Mytilus edulis: one gene and its partner. The protein of the gene in region 1 interacts with the protein of each later gene in a pairwise test. Links are inferred from orthologs where the notes say so. Each region holds a gene or a part of one and is shown on either strand. Other genes may lie near its edges.

Region 1 (6,833 bases):
TACAATGTACACACTGAAGTTTTAATGGACAAGTTATGATTTACGCTTGCAAACGTGTACCTTTATTTTACCGACGTTTATACTCTGCAATAAAATCGACAATATTTTAACGTAAACCAAGGATTTGTATAAACGAAAACATTAATATGCATCTGTTCGCTTCCATTATTTATTTCATCTTCCGTCATGTTCATTTTTAGTTTGTATAAACGACTGTTAACGTCATAATCCGACTACGTTTTGTACGTCTATATTTTCCCGGACCATCGCACTTTAGCGTATGGAAGCATCGTACTTTAGCATAGACCATCGCACTTTAGCGTGACCATCCTACTTTAGCGTCCCCATCGCACTTTAGAGTCCTACATATATATGCAAATTACACTTGGTTGAGTAAACATGTAGTTTAATCGCTACTTGTATAAAAACATGTCTAGTAAATTCAATATTTATCTTTTATTAAAGTTTGAAGTAAAATAGTTTTTTAAATAGGCAATCAATTTCAACTATATCTATCCATGTGGACAGCAACACTTAATATTTTTATAAAAGATATTTGTAGATGAGTTTGTTTTACAGGTATTATCCTGCTGATAGACAAATTATACTTTGGTGGTGGTGGCGGTGGTTGTTGTTGTTGGTTAGCTTCAAATGGTGTTGATAGAGGAGGCTGAGGAACCACTGGCGGCTTTGTACTTGTAGATCTTCTTCCATGAATCTATAACAAAACAAAGAATGAAATAAATCTTTTTCATATGTCTTAAAATGTTATCCAGATTAAAATGTTACAAGCAGGAAAATCATGTAAAGACGGTGCTTGTCATTTTGAAATTCTTAAAAATACAATTTGCTTGGTCTGTTTGGTCTGCCATTAAGATTGATTGACACTTAATGGAATGTTTACAAAGCTGGAGGCTACAGACATGGAAGAGGGATTTTCTGAATTTCTAAAATGTTTATAGGCATTTGAAGTCAGGTTTGAAATGGCCATTAGAAAATCTGCATTTCTGTATAATTCTTAATATGCTTAAGAATAACCATGATAACAATGAAAACGTATCTAAAGAATGGTTGTTTTATTCGGCATGTTTATGCGGTATGGGCTTTGCTCATTGTTGAAGGCCGTACAGTGACCTATAGTTGTTAATGTCTGTGTCATTTTGGTCTTTTGTGGATAGTTGTCTCATTGGCAATCATACCACATCTTCTTTTTTTTATATTAGAAGATATTAAAAAACATATTCTGCACTAATTTTGTATGCTGGTATTAGCTTAGAATGCAGAATTTTTCGGTGTGATAAGTACAATTACTAAGTCCTTACCAACATGATGACTGATTATTCAGATTATATCCTGAAATGGTGATAAGTCGTTCATCTAGGCACATTTTTTCTTTTTTTTTCCCTGTAGACTGAGCTTTGTTTTATTATTACCATGTACAAATGTATTGACAAGCAGGGTTACTCATCAATTTTTCTCAGTCACTGAATGTACTATGTATGCCATACTAAAGATGCTGACCCTGTAAAGGGCCTGTTTGTTTACATTCAAATACCAATGGTGTCAAAACCTTGTGATGCATTGAATTCATTCTACCCAATCAAATGGTTTATTATCAATTAGGTGATTTTTTTAAAGACTGAGGCAATTATATTATTTGTTGGAGTGATATTGCTTTGAAATAGTTTGCAATAAATTGGGGGGTTTATTCAATAAAAAAAAACATTTTTAGCCATGAATTTTGACATCAATGGAATTTTATATGAATATTTACCTATGGTCATGATGGTCAGTATATTGATCTTTATATATTGATTGATTTTTTTTTTATGAAAAATATATGTATATACATATTGTTTTTTAATAACCTACTCTATATTCCTGAACAAAATTATGGCATGAACATATTTTTTCCCTAAGTTTTCCTTTCATTTTGGATTGGTTTTTTTAGAGTTAAAATTGTGTAAGACGTAAGGTGCCTGTCATTTTGAATTTCTTAAAAATACCATTTCCTTGGCCTGTTTTGTCTGCCACTAAGATTGATGAAGCTGAATGGAATGTACACAAAAGCGATGGAGCCCGTAAGTGGGATTTTTTGAAGTTCTGAAATGTTTTAAGGCATTTGGAAGTCAGGTTTGAAACAGCATTAAGAAAATTGGCATTTTTAGCAATAATTAAGAATAACAGTGAAAACGTATCTTAAGAAATGTTTTTATATTTAGAAGAGTAGAAAAAACCTCTTCTGCACTATTTTTTTACGCTGCCGCTAGTGGGACATAGTGACATGATTGCTTGGTTTTCCCATGTGATAATTACAATAACAAAGTCTGAACGAACCAACAAAATGACCGACAATCAACTAGGTAGGATCGACTATAGACTAGGTAGGATACTGGTAATTAAACCAATGAACACAGGGGAAAAGTCAATATACAAACTGAGAATTTGTTACAGTGAGACTGTGTGTTCATTCTTTGTGGGTCTCATTGGGGTCTAAGTGTGATGCCGGATAGCCGATTGTTTGTAAACGTGACACGTGAAAGTCAATTTATTGTGCCATGAAAACGGGAGATGAAGTCTAGCGGGACACAGGAAATTACAAAAAATGAGAATTGAATGCGTACATAGTGTAAGCGGGATACGGGAATCTGACAAAACAGTAAGCAATATCCGGGATCGGAACCCCCCCAATGAGACCCTCTTCATTATTTAGGTATCCCATAGCATAGAAGTGTCCAATGGCACCATGGCACTTAAGTTAAGACTTTAATGACAGATAATTTGGCATGACATGTTGTCCAGTACTGATTTTAATCAGCTGAAAAGGGAATCCTTAGAAAAGAAGATATTTGGCATCCTCAGTTCACTTACTAACCTTGATTTTGGGGGGCACTCTAGATGTTGTCCTCCACATTGCTAATCAGTAGGACACCGGCTCTTCAATTTGACTTCCGGTAACCTTCATCAACGACTTTTGTACTCAGCAGATGATTTACATTGTAAGTTTGTGCCGAATCTGAATAGTAACAGATAAAACTTAAACCCAAACAAAAAAATTTGATTGTAAAGCACCATAATGTACAGTTTCATACTGATACCAGTATCAACAAATGAAGGGAAAAAAACACAGAAATAAACCCAAAGCTTAATTAAACTAATGAATCAATGTATTATATCTTATTTTTCTGTTTACCAACGTAATATTACTTAAAAGATCTTTTTCCCAATGTGTATATATATATAGGACGCCTGCGTGTGTGAGAATTTCTCGCTGCATTATAGACCTGTTGGTGACCTTCTACTGTTGTTTGTTCTATGGTCGGGTTGCTGTCTCTTTGACACATTCCCCATTTCCATTCTCAATTTTATAGGCCATGAGACAACACGTCAGTTTTGACTGAGAGAAGAAAATCATCAAGTGCCACGCCACAGTCTAATTAATATATGGAAACTTTATGGTTGTCATATTTAATAGTCATACTTTTGTCATTTTCAAATATCAGAGACATATATGTCTCTGCAAATACATATTGAAGTGAAGTTTATTAGAAAAGTGAGATGACAAAGAAGAATTTCAAAAAGAGCTGGTAAAATCATTTCAGTCTGTCTGTTTATAACTGACAATTTTAGAAAGAATACTAAAGAAAATAAAACTGTTTTTATTAGGCACAGCTGGCTACGATTATATTGAAATTTTACAATAATAAAAAAAAATGTTACATTGGGGACTTATTGTCGGAATGCAGGGTTGGGCAAGGAACTGATTAATTACGAATGTAACAATAATAATTATGCCTACGATTAAATTGCGTTGTTGTTACATTAAATCATTATTATTGTTACATCAATTCCATGTAACTTTAGCCCGAGTGCCTTCTTATTGGACAGGAGACTAGTCAATTAACTTCGATGGTGTGTTATATTTTCCCCACTGATTACTCTGATCCACAATTTGACGAAAAAAGTATTCTGGTCAAGCAGATGACAAACAAAATAGAATGAAATTCAAAACAGTGTAGCTGTGGCCATTGATTGACACATTAAAATCATCCATTGACTGGGACAATTTAGGTGAACGTTTGTATGTAACGACCAATGCTCACTATGTACTTTTTAAAGACACTTAAACTATGGGGTCACCAAAGGTTCTCAACACCTAAATAAAGTAATTCGAAAAATTAATCAGAAATAACACGATATTTTGATTTCTATCAATTATATAAATCAAAACACAAAGGTTATTCCTGATTAATTTTTCGAATTATTTTATAATTAAAGGCGTTAAGAAACCTTTGGTGACCCCACAGTTTAAATGTCTATCGTAGGTACGTCGTGAACAGTGGTCGTTACAGACAAACGTTCACGTAAATTGTCCCAGTCAATGGATGATTTTAATGTGTCAATCAATGGCCACAGCTACACTGTTTTGAATTTCATTCTATTCCAAGTTTCCCGGCTATACCTTATGGTGTTAAATATTGAAAAAAAAATGATCGATAGGTTTTGGAAATATTTCTGACTCAGACAAAAAACCATACCCCCTTTAAAGTTAAACGGTTGCTCCCTTATATGATTAGCGTCGTCAGTTTTACTAAATGATATGTTTGTTGTATCACATGATTCAAAAATGTGTCTCAGGTTTTTAAAACTGATAAATTCCAGCAGAGCACCGACCATTCATCTGAGGAGCATGATTGTTCTTTTCTTAGTATATATCAGCATTATGAAATAAAACAAACTTAACGAAGTTTACGTTTTGATCAAGGACAGGCCTGGTTCTTCTATATACTCTTATTTATAGTTACTTACTTACTTACTTACTTACTTATATGTAATTTTGAAATCTAAAATATAAAAGTGCAACAACACTATCTACACACTACTTTTGATGTAGCATCGTATATATCCCCATTTATATGAAGGACAAAGAGTTATCAAAGGTACCAGGCTTATGATAAGCCATACGCGTAAACACGAAATTTATAAAAATGACCATATAATTGATATTCTTGTCAACACCTAAGTGCTTACTACTGGGCTGGTGATACCCTCGGGGACGAAACGTCCACCAGCACTCACTGAACTTATACATGTATGTAAGTCGGGGGTTGTTTCTTTAATCTGATCACTCTTATTCGTATCAATGCTAGGTCCATTACAAGTCGTTGGTACTTCAGAGGGGCTGATTTGTGGCGTTTCCTGAAGGAAAGAGGGTATAAGTTACTAAAAAATTTGAATGAACGAAACTTTTAGACAAACAGATGATGGAACGGGGGTATTCATTCAATATATAAAAAATAAAATTGAGAATGGAAATGGGGAATGTGCCAAAGAGACAACAACCCGACCATAGAAAAAAACAACAGCAGAAGGTCACCAACAGGTCTTCAATGTAGCGAGAAATTCCCGCACCCGGAGGCGTCCTTCAACTGGCCCCTAAACAAATATATACTAGTTCAGTGATAATGGACGCCATACTAATTTCCAAATTGTACACAAGAAACTAAAATTAAAATAATACAAGACTAACAAAGGCCAGAGGCTCCTGACTTGGGACAGGCGCAAAAATATTTATGTGACTTTAAAACTTTAAAATTATTTTTGAATTTTGGCATCACAGTAAAAAAATATTATTGGTCGAGAAAAGTTATTATACAAACTTTAAAAATTTAGATAAACGTAATGTAAAAAAGTATAAATTATCTGCTAAAAACATCTAAGATTGAGGACTGTCTCTTCATTTTTACACCTTAATTAACATCAAAGAAATCGATCAAATAATTAGCGATTGTTGATTACATGTTCATTGTATAAACATACCTGTCAAAGTACATGTATTTAGCCTTAAGGTAAGTAATGACAACTTTATGACTGGTGATTACGATAGACAAATTGATTTGATCGACGAATTTATTTTTCAAAATGTTCAAGGTGCACCACTTTTTGGTACATGGTGCACCATTTTTGCAAACCCAGGGGGTGGTCACCGGCACCGGGTGACCACCCCCTGGATCCGCCTCTGAGCAGTGGCATAGACCCAGTGGTGTAAATAGTTGTAAAGTGTAGCAGGAACAATTCTGCCTAAGATTCGGGGATGCGGACCACAGCTAATTCTAGTTTGTAAACTGATGTGTGCGGAAAACGACTGATGCCAAAAGTGATGCGCTATAATATATCTAAGTAAATGAAAACCAAAAACTGAAAACAATATATAATTTAATCAACAAAGTACAACTTTTATTATGTAAAGCCAAAAGTGTAGAAATGGAGCATTCATTATGATTTCACATTATCATACTAAGGAGGCATGTAGCAGATGCACTAACCTAAACTCTGGTTGGAAAGCCTGGCTTTCCTTGGTAGGACTGAATGTCAGTCCTCAGAGGATTCAAAATAAGAATCTAAAAGTACTTATATAAAATATATAAATTTCTCACAGAAGGTAACCAAAGAATTTGCAACGATGCAAATATTAAACTTTACAATATAAATAAATATCTTTAACCAATGAATTAAAATAGCAAAAGCTATGTAATTTAACAAATATATCCTCAATAAGCTTCATGTAAATTAATTAACAATGAAATACATCAAATATGAAATTTAGAGTTTTACCAAAGGGAGCTAAAAATTAACTAATAACTCTGTCTGCTACATTCCTCCCCCCTAAGACAAACGAAAAATTTCATCAATTAAAGTCTGCAAACTGAAATGTCTATCAAATTCATGTATCTGCATCAATATGTACGCAAAATCCAAATGTCAGGATCAAACATTAAATCCAAAATACATCAGTTTAAGTTGAATCACGAGACTGTTCAAGGAGACCGCAA
Region 2 (7,542 bases), on another chromosome or scaffold:
GTTCAATCAATTGAAAAAAAGCAGATAAGCATTTGTAATCAATATTTTTACTAAAAATGAGATTATAGCTGGAGTGGGCACGGGTGGGCTGTCCACGTGGGCCGGTGGAAAAAGCAAAATCCACCCGAGCTGTGTATGTTTGGCCTCGTTGAAGCTAACAATGTAAATGACACACAGGGTATACACGTGGGAACAGATTCCTACCCCTCTTTTAAAGTTGTAAAAACACTGCAAATTGATGCTAAGCAGCGGTTTAATGATTTTTCGAGGGGTAATACCCTTGCAACCTCTCTATATAGATGTGTTTTGATGTTTAACAGAATTTAATCTTGCAGAGTGGGGTTCTGACAATATTAAAATTCAAAATTTTGAGAAGAGTGAGAATGCGAAATATTTGCCTTATTAAATCTATGGAAAAAATTGTAGATTAATAGGACATGATTTTTTTTCCTTCTCTAGTATAAACTGTTGTGGGACCAGCCAGAGAAATATTAAAGAATAAAAGTAGACATGGTGCCGGGGCAGATTCATTTATAAATGTCAGAACATGAATCATACACCATGTCTGCCTACTGGGGAAAGCTTTCTATTTTTCGTTACACATTGTCTGCCCCCTTGCCGTCATTAACTCAAACAGTCAAATGCTCAAAAGTATTAACATCCGTTTATGTTGCGTCCTGAGAACAATTTTTTACAACAAAAGCTGGATTGACTTTAGCAGTAAATTGATCTCATTTTACTCTTTAATAAATTATTTGTCAATTTAATAACCGGTAGAATTAGATACAGTCTGTCCATCCTGAAACGATTCTGACTGTTGGTCGTCTTGTACCTGTGCAAAGAAGTTGAGCAAAATGCGCCAACTTCGTATTTTTTTCGTCTATAGGTCCATCATGGTGTTCTTCAAAAAGATTCATCATATCGTAATTATCCGGAATTAATATCATTATATTTTGTAACCATGTGATCACATTTCGCATATTTGACAGCTAATACGCAGCACGGTTTACGGAAAAGCCATGCTTGTTTATTTAAAATCTTGGTTCTTGAAACGCTTTACTTGTCCATATTGGTCCAAGCTATCAAACATTTTGAAGATCTGTAGTTTTCTAAATGAAAAGTAGGATCCAGACAGACCGAATAATCCGGATTTTTAATAAAAAAAATTGTTTTTGTCAATAAAAAGTTTAGGGTCAGCATCAAAAACGGAGGTAGGGTCGGGAAACCGGACACACACTATTAAATTATTTTGGCCTTACTTTGATACTGTCCACTCACTGACTCAGATAAACTCTTTAACTCACCTAAAGTTATGAAGATACCAGTGGCGGATCTAGAAATTTTCATAAGTGGGGGCCCGCTGGCTGCCTAAGAGGGGGCCCGCTCCCGTCACGCTTCAGTGATTCCCTATATAATCAACCAAATTTTTTTCTCAAAAGTAGGGGCCTGTGCCCCCTGCCCCCCCCCCCCCCCTAAATCCGCCTCTGGATACCTCTTGTCCATGTCAATTAATGACAATCAAAACAATACAAACCGGTTATTTTACCTGAGGAAGCATCTCATAGTTATACCACAACTTAGTTGATTTTCACACCTTTTGCATGAAGGAAAAAAAATGCCCATCAAAATCCAAGAGATTTTATCTTTCTGAAACACAAAATGCATTTAACTTTTTTTATATCTAGTGGATGCCAGGCAAACTTTTCCAACTTCACAGGTAAGTCTGTACTCAGAGTAATTTTTGGCATGTAAATACAGCCATATTTGTTCGTTTGTTATGATGAACCTTAAACTATGTGAAGATTATCCTACCGTAGTCTAAAATCGTTCATCTTGTCAGTTCGTTAGGTATTTGTGTTTGAACTTAACACACAGGGAAACTCCGCAATGATGTCACTACGGTACTTCTGGCGTAGAAAAACAGTGCAAAATACGTTTTTTTCTGCACTTTTGAATAAAAAAACATTTTTAAAGGTAAGTTTTCATTGTTGTTTTCAATTATTGCCAAAAAATGCCAATTTTCTAATGCCCGTTTCAATCCCAACTTCCGAATATTTAAAAACATTCTAGAACTTCACAAAATCCCATTTCCGGCCTCCATTGCTTTGTGTACATTCCATTCAGCGTCATCAATCCTGTGGCAGGCAATACAGGTCAAGCAAATCGTATTTTTAGGATTTTAAAAATGACATGCTCCTTACCTCTTTCTCGATTTTCCCGCGAAAAAAGCCCAACCAAAATGAAAGGAAAACTATATGAAAAAACGATGTCAATGCCATAATTTTGAACAGGCATATAGAGTTGGTTAATAAGAAACAATTTACATTTATTTTTCATAGAATTTTCTTTTTATTCATTATCAAAAGATAGATATTCTGACCATCATGACTGTAGGTAAATATTCATACAAAATTCCCTTGATGTCAAAAGAGATGGCAAAAAAAAGAGTTTTCCTGTTGAATAAAACCCAGAACTATTGCAAACTATTTTGAAGCAATATCCCAGAAAGAAATAACGTAATTTGCCGTAGACTGAAAAATCCGCTAATTGACAGTAGAGCAATTTGATTGGATATAACGAATTGACATCACGTGATTTTGACGCTATTGAAATTTTAATGTAAACAAACAAGGTCAGAAGGTTCCGTATGGGACATCATTGTACATTTATTTACTGACAAACAATTACGAGTTATCAAGCTTGCCAATGCATGGTTATAAAAAAATAAAGCTAAGTCTACAGAAAAAATAAGAAAAAAATAGCCTTAGTATAACGACTTATCATTACACCTGGATACATAACCGAAAACAGCTCTGTCTATAATCTTAAAGTTTTGAAAAGAAAAAACATCTATTCTTAAACTATGTGACAGCAATCTAGAATAACTAAAAGAGTTCTTTAAAAACCTTTTTAAGCTCCATGTCAACGGGCATTCCTGCTTTTGCTGCCATTCTGTTATTTGATCAATGTGTAAAGAACGCATGGTTTTGTTATCAATATAAAGTGTATTACAAACGCATGACTAACTGCAATATTCGAAAGATCTCGAACCATAGAAAGTAAGTCTTACTACCCTAAACAATTCATTACAACAACGCACTGCAACGAAATGGTTAAAATAGTTCAACACTTGTAACCAAGGATTTCAGTGTATAGTAATATACAAATCCTTGTTGTAACGAATTAAAAAAAAAAACACCGTGGGATCATCCCCCAAACCACGCCATATGATCCCTTAAAAGGTTAGAATAACAGGGTATCAGGTCCGTTCGCGCCCAATATACTTTCGCACCCTACACGTTCGCACATCGCACGTTCGCACCCAAGGTCCGTTCGCACTCTACACGTTCGCGCCCAATTTTAATTCAAATACCAGTTGAATAATTGGAAAATCATGATTATTGTTTTTAATTGCTTTCGTGTAAATACTGAATGTATTTATAGCTTGGTATGAGTAAAAATTTGAATATTTTAGATCATTTTGAGTAAAAATTTGAATATTTTAGATCATTTTAAATGAAAAACACAAAAGATAATTGTTTTTAACAGCTTGGTCCCTTTGATCTGAAACAATGAAACAATAAAATATAACAATACACTATTATAACCAAAACATGATAAAATTTATTCAACACACAAAAAAAAAAAACGTAGTCAGAATCTCACTTCATTTTGAAACAAGTTAATGAAACAAAGTTATAGCAATTAATACGCTAACCAAAAAATGATTAAGAGTTATTCAACACAAAATAAAACGTTGACAGAATCCCACTTTATTTAGAAAAGAATATTTTTTATTTTTTAACCATACACTATCCAAAACATGATTAAGATTTATTCAACACCAAAAAAAAATGCTGTCTCACTTTATTTTGAGACAACGAAAACAATTATACTTATAAGAATACTACTTGCCAAAACATGATTACAAAGTTATTAAACTCAAAACCAATTAAAATTGGGCGCGAACATGTAGGGTGCGAACGGACTTTGGGTGCGAACATGTAGGGTGCGAAAGTGAAAGGGGGCGAACATGAGTGGGTGCGAACGTGAATGGGCGCGAACAGACCCGGATTCGAATAACAGATACACTTAAGATGTCACTACTAAATGTAACTGTTCTTATTGTAATAAATTATTATAGTAGATCCGTATTAGCAGGAACAGATATACCGCTGTTCCCAGATATAAGCTAAAACTTGTAGAAACTCTTTATTTATTTCAGTTGGTAAATGATCTAAAAATCATCTTTATAGTGTTTATATCATAAACTAAAGTATAAATGAAATTACCAGTGTCAATGAAAACAGCATGTCCATGCCTTTTAGTATATCGTATAAAAAGTTCCCATTTGCACATAACATTCATGAAACAATGAATGTGAATTGTTTTCTTCAATACTCCAACGTTAGACTAGTTGATGTCCATATGGTCTTTTTAAAATTAGGTAATACAGTACCAACTGGTCTACTGATTAGCTATAGATTAGTGTAGGTTACACTTTTGTGGCATATATATGCTCTGACAATAGCTATGAACCAGCTTAACGTGTCCAATATGAAGATAAGGAGATGCAGTCTGATTGCCAAATGAGACAATTATCCATCAAAATGCAAATAAAGTGAATTTAAGAAATTATAGGCAATCATACGGCCTATAGTAGCTGTTTAAAGACAAAAGTTAAAAATATTTTTTTTATTAACAAAATAGCAATTTTAATTCGGTTCAAACATCATATATTGATTAATATTGTCGAAAGACATCCAAGTAAAAAGGGCTCATTGTTGAAGGCCGTATGCCTGCCTATATGGTTTTAACCAATAAAAATTACCGTAATCTTTTCCAAAATATTCTATAGAAACCTCAATAAAAAAAATAATGGTGCTTTGAAATACCAAAAATATATGTTGATGACCCAGACATTTACTATTTACTGCAATGAAATATAGGTTGAATTACCTTCAACTGTCAAATTCAAGGGAATATGTTTTTCTACCCTTTTTCGAATGCAACCGGATGTACTATGATTTGGTGGTATTACAGCGGTATGCGATGCAAAACTTTTGCAGTCAATGAACTATCGTTCAGGGGGCGAAACTTTAATATATCCATAAAAATATGCCAATGCTGATACAAAAACATACTATAATAATATATCACTTTGCTTATCGCTATTGGTCTTCATTTAAAAAGAAAACTTACTTTATCACAAATTAAAAAAGAAAAACAAGTTGAAGCCGCTGACACCACCGCAACATGCGCAAACAGCATGCCTAACTTTTATATCTTGACAATCTATATATTTAATGTATTTTTAGTTGCATGTTGCAATTTATCGAGATCTGCATTTGATAGGTAAAAATGTGGAATGTAAGATCATAAGTTTTAAGTTGTGAACTAGAAATCGTTTTTCTTTTTCTTTACTTAAAGTAAGTTTTATTTTCCAGAGATCATCTATATGACTTCCCTGAAAAAAATAATCGTGTTTATATCTAAACACATTTCTAAGTAAACACATTAAATAAAAATTTAGTAACAATAAACAAAAGGACTATGCGATTTGGACAGGCTTTGATACTATAACTGCCCTTGAATTTTTACTAGATAAAATTTGTGTTCGCTTTAGACAAGACAAGGCAAGACAAGACAATTTATTTCAACTTAGGCACACGTATGGTGCTACAAGAGGATAACAATTGTACATTAACAATTACATAAATATGGAGATTCTGTATCTCGTCAAGTTATCGACATTGCAATGGGGACTTATTGTGCACCACTTATTGCGTACGTGTTTCTGTATTGTTATGAGTTAGAATTCATGGATTCAAATCAGCAAAGACCCTACAAAACAACATAATTTATGATACAAGAAGAAAAAGAAGAAGAAGAATTTTACAAATATAATAAACAATACAATAAACATAATTAAAAACACAAATAATATTGGCTCTCAATAATGACGACTTCAGTATACATGTATACACTAAAGATATTAATCCTATTGACTAACTTTAAATAAATCGAATACTACGGTAGTACCAATGAGCACTGCCCTTTCCTGGATCTTGATTTCTATAAATTAACATTAACGGGAATCTTATAAAACCAAAGATTATGATAAAAGAGATGAAATATCCATTTTTAGAAGATGACGTTCCGTTGTCACCATTTTATAGTGTTAATATTTCTCAATATGTTCGATTCGCTCATCACGGTATGTGACAACGTAATAGATTTTAACGAAAGCTCGACAATCCTCACATTTTTGCCTGCTTTTAAAGCTCGATAAGGTGGCACGGTAGTATTTCCTGGCCCATAAGGGATAATGATAGCCTTTTTAGAATTTTCACCACTTTCTAACACTGCAAAAAATTCTACATTCACAGTTAACTGAAGTACTTTCATTTTACTATTCAGAAATGAATTTGAAAATGTATCATGACCGTTTACTTTTTTTGCTATTTTAAAAAACCTAAGGCCACTAGTACTTTTAGGTATTTTATGGTGCAGTGAATACAAAATTAAAAAAAATTCTCAAAAATTCATTTTCATCTGTATGTAAAATTATTTCATATTTTTCTACACCTGATTCATCCCTCAGTTTGGGAAAGTATGTTCAGTTGATACTGTATTTGTCCAATCACACTGTTTAGATACATTTACCTAAGTAGGCCGGAGACTTTTTTTTGTTGTTGATTGGTTGTATTTCTTATGCATTAAGAGACACACGGAAGGAGGACAACGGAGTTGGCGTACGTGGGTTCGATTCCCACCCTAGGCTTTTTTTCAAAGTACGGCTGGTGCAAAGCGGGCAGATTAGCTTAGTGGCCCCGCGTCGACTCTGTTGCCGGGTACACAAAAGAGCAACCTAAATTCTGGAATGCAAATACTACCGTGCCACCATAAACCTCACAATACATCCTTGTTTTAAAGCTTGACAAGCCTCAATTTTCTTCCTGCGTTTCAAGCTAGGCAATCCTCACTTTTCTTCTTTTTTTGACGCTGGACAAGCCTTACATTTTTCCTGCTTTTAAAGCTCGACAAGCCTCACATTTCTTCCTGCTTTTAAAGCTCGACAAATATCACATTCTCCCATTCTTTGAAAGTTTGTATACATATTTAAGTTTAGCCGATCTTATAGATATGATTATATTTATTACTCTATCATATCGTATTTGATTATTATACCTCATAAAAATGTATCTAAGTGTTATCGACCCATGACTTAACTGATTGTCATGTTTTCATTAGTGTTTTTATAACTTCCTTTTAAAAATATATACATTCTAGTGTAGGACTAAAAGATTCATGTCGAATATGATTACATTTGTAGGTTTATGCATGGTCCTTCTTTGCCTCATTGAAAGTAGAAAGTCTGTAGCACAGGATTTCAGTACGTATATTGTTTGTTTTTTTTGTATTGTATTTGTTTTATATTTTTATTTCAAGTTTTAAACATTATCATAATATTGGATGAGAAGACTTCCATTTGAAAATTCTTGATTGACATATGAGGAAGAACACACATTTTCTCGAGGG

Evidence for each region.
Region 2: the proteins of MICOS complex subunit MIC60-like (region 1) and prefoldin subunit 1-like interact in a two-hybrid assay, tested with the Homo sapiens proteins (2 studies listed by BioGRID and IntAct). The link is inferred for Mytilus edulis from reciprocal best matches to the Homo sapiens genes IMMT and PFDN1.

Annotation. Positions count from the first base shown.
Region 1 is NC_092347.1:95,493,993-95,500,825, forward strand, and holds the start of MICOS complex subunit MIC60-like, read right to left. Parts: upstream 3,014-6,833; 5' UTR 2,915-3,013; coding exon 2,876-2,914; intron 719-2,875; coding exon 609-718; intron 1-608. UniProt on the Homo sapiens protein: Component of the MICOS complex, a large protein complex of the mitochondrial inner membrane that plays crucial roles in the maintenance of crista junctions, inner membrane architecture, and formation of contact sites to the outer membrane.
Region 2 is NC_092352.1:51,877,733-51,885,274, reverse strand, and holds the start of prefoldin subunit 1-like, read right to left. Parts: upstream 3,023-7,542; 5' UTR 2,952-3,022; coding exon 2,907-2,951; intron 1-2,906. Other genes in the region: uncharacterized protein, read left to right, coding at 7,312-7,396. UniProt on the Homo sapiens protein: Binds specifically to cytosolic chaperonin (c-CPN) and transfers target proteins to it. Binds to nascent polypeptide chain and promotes folding in an environment in which there are many competing pathways for nonnative proteins.